Yarrowia lipolytica: one gene and its partners. The protein of the gene in region 2 purifies or fractionates together with the protein of the main gene of each other region. This does not show direct contact. Links are inferred from orthologs where the notes say so. Each region holds a gene or a part of one and is shown on either strand. Other genes may lie near its edges.

Region 1 (3,706 bases), on a different chromosome or scaffold from region 2:
CCTGGACCAGGTCGGCATCAAAGGCCTTCTCCTTCTCGTTGAGCTCGTTGACTCGTCTTCGCAGACCCTCGTTCTGGATGATCTCCGACGCAGTAGCAAACATGGTTTGGGCCCAGTTTTCGGCGTATGTGTTGGCCTCAGCGGCACAGTCGTTGAGCTCCATTTCGATCATCTTCTCCCACGCGGTGAACTGATGCAGCAGATCATCTCCAATGGATCCCGCCTCGTGAAGAGCAGTCAGATGGGGCTTGGCCTCCTTGGTTTTGATGATTCGCTTGATGTTTTCCGCCGACCGTCGTAGAAGAGCGGCCTTGAGCACCTTTTCGGATGGACGGGGCGACGTGTGGTCCCGCAGAGTGAAGTAGATGTCTCGGGGAATGTGATCGGGGTACCACGGTTCGACTCCTGCCAGGTTGACCGCCTGCCGGGATCGGTAGATCTTGCCAAACACGGCCAGCGCCGTCACAAGCACGGCAAAGTAGATGAAGGGCGTGTAGATGGAAACGCCGCTGCTGCTTTCCATTGTCGGTCTTTTGTCGGTCTGTTGTGTGTGTGTGTGTGTGTGTGTGGTGTTAACAGAGGTAACGTTACGTGTGTCTCGTTCTTGTTAGACTCTCTTCGCTTCGGCCACCTATGAATAACTCTATTTGCACTGGAGAAAGAAGGTGTAGTATAATCAGCTACGCGCGTTGCATAGACGAGGCTGGAGAGGACGACAGAGTGTGGTCACGTGGATGTTTTTTTGGTTGCAATTGTTTTTTAATGGTTGTATACGCGTCCCGAGGATATCGTTGCTTTTTTTCCAGAACCAGATTTGGGCTATTTTGGGGTAGTTTTAGACGACAGTCGAAGAGGTTCTAGAGTTTATGTAGTTACTTGGCTTTGCTACATAATGATACTTGAGATTTAATTAGAACATGCCAATGTGGGATGGTATTAGGTAAGCCGAGTGAAGTGTTTAGAGTCTAGTTGTGGCTACAAATATGAGTACGAGTACACGAATTTGTGTTTGTGGCCACCAATTTCTGAACCGACCGTTCAAGCATCCTTTTCATTGGCTGTACACATGCCATCCGCCATTATGCCCGCGCTTACAGTAGTATTATCATTTAGGCTGCTAATTATACTGTATGAAACTTGTACATGATCATCAGCCCCAAACTAGGACACCTTCAAACGGCGTTTCCGAATGTTTAAAGACCCGAAATACTCTCCTTCACCACTGTAATACATATTGAGGCAATATCTTGACCTCTTGGTACGATACTACAGACGTCACACTGTCTGTCGCCATCCAGCTACTTTTTTTATATATACTGTTTTGTTTTTTATTTTATTGATTCTCCAAGTAGAGCCAAATATCTTTAACAAACTCTAAATCCTCACTCGGATATGCTTGTCCCAGTGGCAACAGGAAGCTCCATCTCAACATCATCTCTATCAACCACTACTTTCGAGAATGGTGAGTACTGCAGACACAAACAGCTGTGGAATTGTGCCCAGACTAACTCAGATCCTGCGATTCCGGTCCAAAAAGGGCACTCTTCGAGCGGAGGCCCAGCCCACAGATCTCTTCGATGTGGCGTTCAAGAAGCTCACTGAAGACCTGCCAGACATCGATCCCGCCACAATCACCCTTGCCACGTCACCCACAGGCAAGCAGGAACCGGCCTCTCGTCTTCTGGGTAAAACCGTCCAGAAGCTGGGGCTTAATCATGGTGATATGCTGTTTGTCAGCTACACAGACTCGGCCCCACGAGCTGCTGTGGAGGCTGTGACGGCCGAAACCGCTCCCCAAATGACCGCGGCACACATTCGAGACGCCACCAAACAATTGCCTGTCGATGACTATCTCGAGAAACAAGATGGAAAGATCAAGCGACAGCTATCAGCACTCCAGCAGCGAAAGTTTGGATCCAGAGGTATGGGCGAAGACACTCTTCCAGTCGACCCCTGGGACGAGGAGTATCTCAAGGAGCAGAAGATTAAGCATATGAGCTACCATGCCTACGTCAAAAAGCTCAATTCGCAGGCGAACAAGAAGAATGGAGGCGGATACATTGCCCCCCTGAATGTGTCGGATTTCGGAGTGTCCAAGAGCTGTACAGGAGCCCATGCTCCCTGGCCCGAAGGAATCTGTTCCCGATGCCAGCCCTCGGCTATTACTCTGCAATCACAGCCTTTTCGAATGGTTGATCATGTGGAGTTTGCAGAGTCAGGTATGATCAACAGCTTTATTGAGCCCTGGCGTCAGTCCGGAACACAGCGTATCGGCTGGATGTACGGCCACTACGAACCCTACGAACTTGTGCCTCTCGGCATCAAGGCTGTTGTTGAGGCAATCTATGAGCCTGCCCAGAGTGGTGAGTATGACGGTATCACCATTACTGAAATTACCCAGGCAGACGGTCAGCCTCAACCTCCTCATATTGCCACTGCCGAGGCGTGTGGACTGGTGCCTCTGGGCGTCATTTTCACCGATCTGGTTGATGCTGGCAATGGAGATGGTTCTGTCATCTGCAAACGACACGCGGATTCGTACTTTTTGTCGTCTCTGGAGGTGGCATTCGCTGGAGCCATGCAGGCACGTTTCCCCAACAAGTCGCGGTGGTCACCAACGTCTGAATTTTCGTCCAAGTTTGTCACTGCCGTGATTTCCGGTAACCCCAAGGGCGAGATTGATGTATCGTGCTACCAGGTGTCTGAGCAGTGTGAGGCTATGGCCCGCGCAGATCTCATCGAGCCCAGCATCAACCCGTCGGTGCTGCTGGTCAAGGAAGCTACAAAGACACGATATGTTCCCGACGTGTTTTACAAGAAGAACAACGAGTACGGACGGACGGTGCTCCAGGGAGCCAACCCACAGCTTCCTGTAGACTACATGTTGGTTACACTGACCCATGGCTTCCCCCAGGACCCCAGGCCTTTGTTCTCATCCGGCCTGTCGTCTTTCCCTGTGGAGAACCGAGAGCTGATTGGAGTGACCCAGAGCCCCCAGGCACTAGGAAAGGCTCTGGACTCTGGGTCTGCTGGAGGAGCTGTTTCCAACTTCCATCTGCTGAGCTACATTCAGTCCATGGGTGTGCTATCTGCTGAGGAGTTCCAGTTGTTGGCCAAGGTGGCTACGGAAAAGAAGGATGAGGACGTGAGTCGGTTGGTTGCCAGTGAGGGCTGGAACAATCTACTGTTGATCATCCAGTGATGGACGAGTATATAATGGGTGCATTACAATTTCTATCATGCCGACTTGTGTCGTACAGTACGAGTCCAAGTATCATGCACTACTTGTAGCTACTGTACAATCAAAGTCCGATCCTTAGCGGCGAGTAAATTGCAAGTCTAGCAGCATACAGTAATGATGTCTTGGATGTCTGATCATGACGTCAACTTTATCGCTCGAAATACCATTTTTGTAGTCCGTTGAGAGCCATATTGCAACTGTCGAATCATAGCAACTACAGTATGACGAGAGCACATGTTGTTGCCAAACAGGTACGGCAGTAAAAGTGGCACCGTGCGGGTACTGAACAATAATCTATGGTTGCCATTGTTTCTGTAGGAGGAGAATGTTCCCGCACCTTCTATAGCCACGTGCAGCAGTTTGGATGGAACATATCATCTCATCTTTCTTGTGTTGAATAAATGTACGAAATCGCGATAATCGAGGCCAATTGGCGAAATCCAAGTTGGTACAGCCCTTTTCCGC
Region 2 (3,752 bases):
GGCATAAGGTTGAAACGCGAGATGAGCTCAATAGCACGTGTGAAGTTTGCCGGGTCAAACGATCGGCCGTCTCGAGCCACAGCCTGGATAAACGCGTCCTGCTTGTGCAGGTTGTAGTAAGCCTTGGAAAGCTTGACCAGCAGATCCTTGGGGTCGAAGCCGTACTTTAGCATGTTTTTGACCTTGAGATCACGACATCGAGGGCCAACCAGCGCCTTGAGGTTGTGGTTCATCATGGCAGCTAGTCGGTCGACGATTTCGGGCGATACAAACGACTTGGGGACAGCCTGGGTGAACAAATCAAGAAGCTTCATGTTCTTGTTGGTGAGAGGCATCCACCCCTTGATGTTGCGCTCGGCTGTCTTGAACTTCTTCTGCAGCTCCTGGGCGTGAGTGGAGTTCTTCTCTTCCTCGGTCATGGCAGCCAGTTCCGCCTCAATCTGCCGAATCTCCGTGAGACTGCTGACCGACTCATCCATGAGATAGGTGACATCGTTGAGCAGCAGCGCCACAAACCGCACAAAGAAGTCAATGTTGTCATGGGATTCCTTTTCCAGCCGCTTCTGATAGTTGACATTGTTCCAGATAGACTCGATGATCTGCGACACATAGTACCGAATGTTAAACTTGTCGTAGAACTGAGTATGTGCTCCAGTCTGCTCAAACTCGATATAGATGTTCATGAGCGAATGCATAAGCGACTCCAGTGCCAGTTTCTGCGAGTTGAATGTAGACACCAAGAAGCCATCATTCTGGTTGTAGATGGGCTGGGTGCCGCAAAACAACATCTCTACAATCTTGCTCTTCTGATGTGGGTTCTTGATCACGTCCGAGTGTCGCAGAAAGACCACTCCAAAGGTGACGAGAGCAGAAACGTCCACCAAGGGAGACAACATGGCCAGAATGGTGTTGTGACGACACATGACGTTTACAATGCCAACAGGACCCTCGATTAGGTACTCGGGGAGGTAAGCAATAGGTCCCGTGTTCTCTCCAGTGTACAGGGGCAGAGTAACTTCGCCACCCAGGGGATAAGTGTGAGAGGGGTCCAGAACTCGGATGAGATAATGCATTTGGAAAATAGCAAACTGCAGCACCTGGACACACACGTCCTGCTCGGAGATGACGGCCAGAATGGCTGCTCGCTGGGCCGCCAAAGAACCCACCATCTTCTCCACCTTCTGTAGCTGCATGTTCACTGCTCCCCGTTGAGCCTCGGGAACATTGGCATACTGGATCCGCGAGTTGTCAAGGTAGTCTCTAACCTGGTCATGGTGCTCCTTGAGACGTGTCACCTGCTGCTGGGCACCTCCAAAACCGTAGTATAGGTATCCGGCGGTGAGGAAAAACACATGGGAAATGAAGTTAGGAGCCAGGTCTTTCTTATCGGCATTCTTTTCGTCTCCGTAGTACTCTGCGGCCTCGGTGGAGTCGGCGTGGATCTTGGTCTCCTCGGAAATGTCAATTACCGCGTTTTTGGTTCGGCTGTAGTAGTCAATGTCAATCTTGTCAATCTTGGAACAGGCGTTATCGACAAACGGGTCTGCCAGTTTGAGCAACACAAAAAATATGTTGAGCAGAAAGCCGTCAGAAGATGTGGTGCCTTCTTGCAGTCGAGTGGCTCGTCTTCTGTGGTTGCACTTGAGCACGCGGCCAAAGTACTGCAGAATACAGTCTCGTGCCTGTGGAGACGCCCGCACAATCTTGTCGACAATCTGGAACAGCTGGTCCTGCACGATTCGCGACTCGGCTCGCACTCCGTTGGCGGCGTTGCCACGGGGATCCATCATTTGCTCAGGAGTACCGATGGGGAAGAAGGTGAGAGCGGTAGAACCATGCAAAGGAGAAATGGCAAAAACGGGGCCGAGACCATGGGGGTTCTTCTCAATGTCTGCGGGTTTTTCGTCGTTGGTGCCACTTTCGACAAAGCCTTCAATTTCGGGCACAGCAGAAGCAAACAGCTTGTTGCTGAACAGGTGCGACACAAAGTAGAGAGCAGCGGTGGCCGACTGGGAGGCGTCCTGATTGGCGCTGAGAATCAGCCCGTTGACGTCCTGCAGAATCTTGCCCGCAACAGAGCCCATGTCTCCGTCGGTCTGGGCACGTGAGAAGATCTCGTCCACGAACTCCCACGACAATGAGCCGTTCTGTGACAGTTTCAGCACCTCCATAATGCCTTGGGCCTGCTCGTACATGTCTGGAACAGACACAAACAGCAGTCCATATCGGGTGGTCATTTCCATAATATTTCTGACCAGCTCTTTCTTGGGCTCTACATCGACAGCGTCCGTGCCAGCCTTGTTGAGCACTGCCAAGTCTTTCTTGGCCCGCAGAAAGCTCTCCATGAGATAGTTGAAGACTGCCTTGGATCCTGTGAGGTGGCTGAAGAGCGCATCTTCGAGATTGTCTCTGGAGAGCGCCACGGGCTTGTTTTCCGACTCCAGTTCCTCCTTGACCGATGCAAGTTGCGTGCATCGCTGCTTGTCTCGCACTGTGATTCGCAGAATGCTTTCAATTGCGTCCTGCTCGTACTGCTGGAACGGCACGGTCAGCGAAGCCGAGGGAGCTGGAGCTGGTCGTGGTGCAGCGGATTTTGGGGTCGATGTGCCTGTGGCGGCAGAAGCAGCGGCCTTGGGCACAATCTTGATCTTGGGTTTGATCGCAGGTGTGCTTTTGGGCTCATCCTTCTTCACTTCCTTCACCTCCTTCACCTCCTTCTTCACCTCCTCCTTAGGTGTCCCCTCTGCCTTCCTGGACTCGGAAGGACCAGGAGAGGGACTGGAAGCTCCTCCTCCTAGACGAGCTAGACGCTTGAGACGAATCTGTGTTAGCACGGCTGTACTTTCGGTTCATCGTTCTCCATTTCTTTTTCACTCACTTCTTCTGCTGATGACATGGTGTTGATCCAGATGATGAATTGCCACACTTGTCTCAATCTGAAAGTTAGTACTGTAGGGTGCAGTTGGGACATGTCTGGCGTGCGATATTAGGTAATCTCCAAGCACGAATACTGTGGAGTTAGAGACAGCAGCGAATAGAAGCTCCACGGGGCCTAACTCGAGCGATTTAGTACACTGGTGTCACCTTCAATTGAACGCACCTATGTTTTTCGGTCGTTTTTTTGCCACCGTGTTTACCGATTTCGTACGAGCTTCTTCTCATCAGGCCGAAGTACCACGAGTGTACTACTACTGTAAGAACTAAGTAGTTATTGGCACTTCTCAAGTACTTTCTGTACTAATTTACAACCTTGATGGAACTGAGAAAGCCCTTGGCGGAAAGCCTTGCTATGAGCTGAAGAAATACCGGTACTCTACGCTATGGGTGCCCAGAATGCACATACAGTAAAATAGCCAGCTCGTGGTCCACTCGTATCGGCTGTACAGTACATACAATAAATATAATACAATAGATTCTCGCACATGAATGCAAGGGTCCTCAATATTTCACCAAACCAGCTTATCCGGGACCTTAACTCTATGCACAGGGACTCAGTGGTAAGAACAGCAGCAGCAGGCCGCCTCCCTAATGTATATACTGTACTTGGAGAATATAATAGTTTTGCAAAAAAACAATCTATAACGTATACCCTGAGTGTGGGACTCGATAATTGATTTTAGATCCGGAACATTTTTCAACATGTCGTAACTTCTACGCTCTTGTGGTGCAACACTACATGTAGTTCTTATAGAATCATCCTGTATATATTGTTCTCCCAATGACTTGTACTGATACAAGTATGTACAGTATGT
Region 3 (3,752 bases), on a different chromosome or scaffold from region 2:
TTATTTTATTTTATTCTAATGATTTATGACTAATCATTACACAGCCCTTAGTAAGATAGTTGGTCCTTAAAAGTAATAGCCAGGTCGTGTGGTGTAATGGTTATCACGTCCCGCTCACACCGGGGAGGCTCGGAGTTCGATCCTCCGCATGATCATATCGTTAGGGAATACCAAGCGTTATTTTTTGAATTTTTCGTAGTACGAACATGTTTCACTACACAACTATTTTGTACTTACTGTATGTCGTATTTATAGCCCATTCACTCAATACACTCATTGTTCCCCACTCTTGCTTTCTGTTATCCGTCACAAGGCTACAAGCAGTCTCTGTTCAGCATTCATGAGAATATATATTAGCACGCTAGTGTCTACAGTGATTCTATTTAGCCTTATTTTTTTGCAAACCGTGCTTCGGCAGCTCGAGCTCGTCTCTCTCGCTCGAGTCTCATCTTTGCTTCATCAGAAAGACCTCTAGTGTCCTCCAGCTTGGTGGCCATCTGAGGCAGTCTCTTTCCCAGTCCACTCTTGGCGACAATCTTTTCGTATCTCTTGCTGGACTCCTTTTCCTTCTGCTCCTCCTCCTGCTGGGCAATGGACTGTTTGACCTTTTGGTCGTGTTCAGCAGCCTCCTTTTTGTCTCGCTGTTCAATCTGCTCATCGGTAAGAGCTTCTCCAACATGACTGGCTTTCCAGTCCCACTTGTCTTCTCCAAGAGCTCCTCTTGCCAGCTGGAAAGTGTCCCGGGTCTTACTATCCGAAACCAGATCCCAAGCAGTCTTTCCAAACGAGTTGGTAACGGTAGGATCGGCCCCTAGCTGCTTCAACAAGACACTCACAATGTAAGCGCTACCCTCTTTAGCGGCGTAATGCAGAGCAGTAGGACACAATGTGCCTGTCTTATCTCCTTCGGGGAACTCCAGCTGGTAGGGCGACTTGAGCTTTTGCAGTTTGAGGTACGAAATGAGCTTAGGAGCCCGACTCTTTCGAATCAACTCAGTGATCTCAGAAGTCTGTTTCATGAGAGGAGTGAGTGGTACGGTGGTAGGTTGGGACTGCTGCTGCTTCTGCTTCTTGGCTTCAGCCGCTGCAAGACGCGACTGCTCCTTCCGAGCCTTCTCGGCCTCCTTTTCACGTGTCTTTTCTGCCTCCTCTTCCTCTTTGCTCACATCCACAACCTTGACAGTGGACAGTTCCGTCCAGGACCGCAGAACCTCGGTGTAGTTTGCTCGACGGGTGTTGAAGGGGATACTCTTGACTCGGGAATCATTTTTGGGAATAGGACATCCCTCGAACCCAAGAACAAGACCACGACTGCCCTTTCCACTGGCTCGAATGTAAATGTTAGCGGCAGACGTAGGAAGGCCAGGTAACAGACGCTTCTTCCACTCGGGAGAAGTCAGCAACTCCTTCACCTCCATCTGCAACTGGCTCTCTCCATATCGTCGCAGAGAGGAACCCACAGACTTGGCCTTACCCTTTGAACCATCAGAAGCACTCTGGGAACCTCCCTGGCTTCGACGAGTGGTGTATCTGTGAAATGATTTGGTTTCCAGAATTAGGGGAACCATTGTGTTTTTGATTTTCGGCGAGTGTTGAAAGATCGCTGCAGCAAAATGTCCTCCTCCAGCCATGATGATCACAGAAGTAGCCTCCGGAAGAGTATTCACCCGCTGAATCTCCCCAAGAATACCCGACTCAGTGGGTGATACGTGGCCCAGTGCATTCTTGTAGACCGTCAGTGTCTTAGGTTCAACTTCGGGGCTCTTGAGGAAGATGACAGGGCTTCCCTTGAGTTCGTCTTTTGCCGTTTCTCCATCTCCAGCTTCCGAGATCGACGCCAGTTCCATTTTTCGAGGCAGTCCAAACTCTTCGTCACTGTCCGATTCTGTATCCTCCTCGCTGTTGCTGTTGCTGTTGCTGTTGCTGTTGCTGTTGCTGTCTGAATCGTCGTCTTTTTGTGTGTCAGTCAGTCCATCTTTAAGCAGTTGATCGTACTCTGGTTTTCGAATAGCTGCCAAGCCCTGAAGACGCAGTTTGTGATTGTATCGATGGAAGGCCTTTTCTTCAGCAGAAAACTGGCTCGATGGCTTAACTTCCGTCTCTTCAGATCGCAGTACTCCGTTGAAATCATACACCTTGAGAGACTTGAGAATAGACTCAGGCAGGTCGTACAGAAAGTATGCCGTAGGTGCTTGCTTTGCTTTTGCCATTTTGATAGATGAATTATGCGTCGATTAGAGTGAATGTGTGTGTTTTAATGGGTCGTTTCTGTTGCCGATCAAGCCCTTTATAGTCACTGGATCAAAGTGGGTTGATGACGCACTTGTTGGAAGGATGAATCATTGCCGCTTCTGACATGCACGCTAAAATCCATCTGGAACATTCAGATTACTAAGGATTAATAGGGTGAAAATAGATATGTGAAAATATTGGCTCGAAAAGTGTTACTTCACAAGTTGGTTTTGTGCTATTATCAGTCCATTCTTCTTAAATCATCCGTTTACGACCAATGTAGATTAAATTATAGGCACGTCGTGATAAAAATTACATCCGAATAGTTCGGATGTGTAGTACCGGCACCTACAGTATATAGTACGAGTACAGTACATACAGTAGTTGTAGTATTCTATCAATCTATTATGCACCATTCCCACCTCTAGTTATATACAAAACTTGTTCTGTTCTTCCAGGGATACTCGTCTCTGATAGCAAAGTCCTCATCTCCAGGTCGCTTGAGGTCAAACCGGTCATCAAACCAGTTGATCAGCTCCACCATGTTCTTACAGTTGTTGAGGTCCTTCTTCTCGTACCTCGTTAGCTCTGCCTCCAACATTTCCGAAAAGTGGTGGATCGTAAGAGCATATGGAAGTCCATAAGCTGTGACGTAGTCCCAGAATAGCTCCACTGCTCTCCAGGGCGTCTTTGTGTATCCTGCAAACATTGCTGGGTTGCTGAGAATGCCTCGCGCAGCCATGACTCCGTCGCAGCCCGTCAGCTCGACAATCTCCTCGATGTTAGTAGTTGTAAATGCGTCTCCGTTGGCGATGACAGGAACGTCGACAGAATCTTTGACAATCTTGATTCCGTCGTAGTTAGGGGCCGTTCTGCTTCTTTGTGGAACCAGCCGGCCATGCACGCTGATAGAATCAGCTCCAGCAGCCTCCACAAGCTTGGCAAAGTGCACCGTGTCATTCAGGTCCTTGTGAATCCGCATCTTCACCTCCACGTATATTTCAGCACCACATTCCTTACGAATAGCAGCCACCATCTCTGCAACCAGATCGGGAGCCGTCATCAGCGCTGCTCCAACTCCCTCTCGGATCTGCTCCTTGATAGGACATCCACAGTTGATTCCTACTCCGTCCACATACGGTTGCAGCATCTTGACAGCCTTGACCATATCTTCCGCGTTGTTGCCTCCAAGTTGCACGATAAGCGGGAAATCGTCTTTGTTGGTTGTGAAGTCGCAGAGCCGGGCTGTCTGGTTTCGACAGAATTCCCGAGCCAGCATCATGGGTGAGTATACCACATCACAGTCGAAATGGCGTACCAGAGCTCTGAACGGCAGTTTTGAGTACCGAACCATAGGTCCTGCCACGGTCACTGTTTTGCCCTGTTCTTTGCGTTCCCTGAAGACTTGTCTGATGCGATTTTCCGTCATGGCAACGAAGTTGTGTAGTTGTTTGTGTAGCCGGATATAAAACTGATTTTTCAGACTAGGAATTTTAAGTTCCATTTTTTTGCGATAAAGT

What was found.
Region 1: the proteins of YALI1_D15523g (region 2) and YALI1_E16174g purify together in Saccharomyces cerevisiae (affinity purification with mass spectrometry; 3 studies listed by BioGRID, with this or other methods). This does not show direct contact. The link is inferred for Yarrowia lipolytica from reciprocal best matches to the Saccharomyces cerevisiae genes UFD2 and NPL4.
Region 3: the proteins of YALI1_D15523g (region 2) and YALI1_E30958g purify together in Saccharomyces cerevisiae (affinity purification with western blotting; 3 studies listed by BioGRID, with this or other methods). This does not show direct contact. The link is inferred for Yarrowia lipolytica from reciprocal best matches to the Saccharomyces cerevisiae genes UFD2 and VMS1.

The regions. Positions count from the first base shown.
Region 1 is NC_090774.1:1,615,931-1,619,636, forward strand, and holds YALI1_E16174g (uncharacterized protein), read left to right. Parts: upstream 1-1,459; coding exon 1,460-3,202; downstream 3,203-3,706. Other genes in the region: YALI1_E16164g (uncharacterized protein), read right to left, coding at 1-523; YALI1_E16194g (uncharacterized protein), read right to left, coding at 3,376-3,535, 3,579-3,619. UniProt on the Saccharomyces cerevisiae protein: Substrate-recruiting cofactor of the CDC48-NPL4-UFD1 segregase. Assists CDC48 in the dislocation of misfolded, polyubiquitinated ERAD substrates that are subsequently delivered to the proteasome for degradation.
Region 2 is NC_090773.1:1,551,458-1,555,209, reverse strand, and holds the start of YALI1_D15523g (uncharacterized protein), read right to left. Parts: upstream 2,897-3,752; coding exon 2,879-2,896; intron 2,823-2,878; coding exon 1-2,822. UniProt on the Saccharomyces cerevisiae protein: E4 ubiquitin chain-elongation enzyme specifically involved in polyubiquitin chain assembly.
Region 3 is NC_090774.1:3,094,329-3,098,080, reverse strand, and holds YALI1_E30958g (uncharacterized protein), read right to left. Parts: upstream 2,211-3,752; coding exon 390-2,210; downstream 1-389. Other genes in the region: YALI1_E30943g (uncharacterized protein), read right to left, coding at 2,657-3,752. UniProt on the Saccharomyces cerevisiae protein: Endonuclease that cleaves polypeptidyl-tRNAs downstream of the ribosome-associated quality control (RQC) pathway to release incompletely synthesized polypeptides for degradation.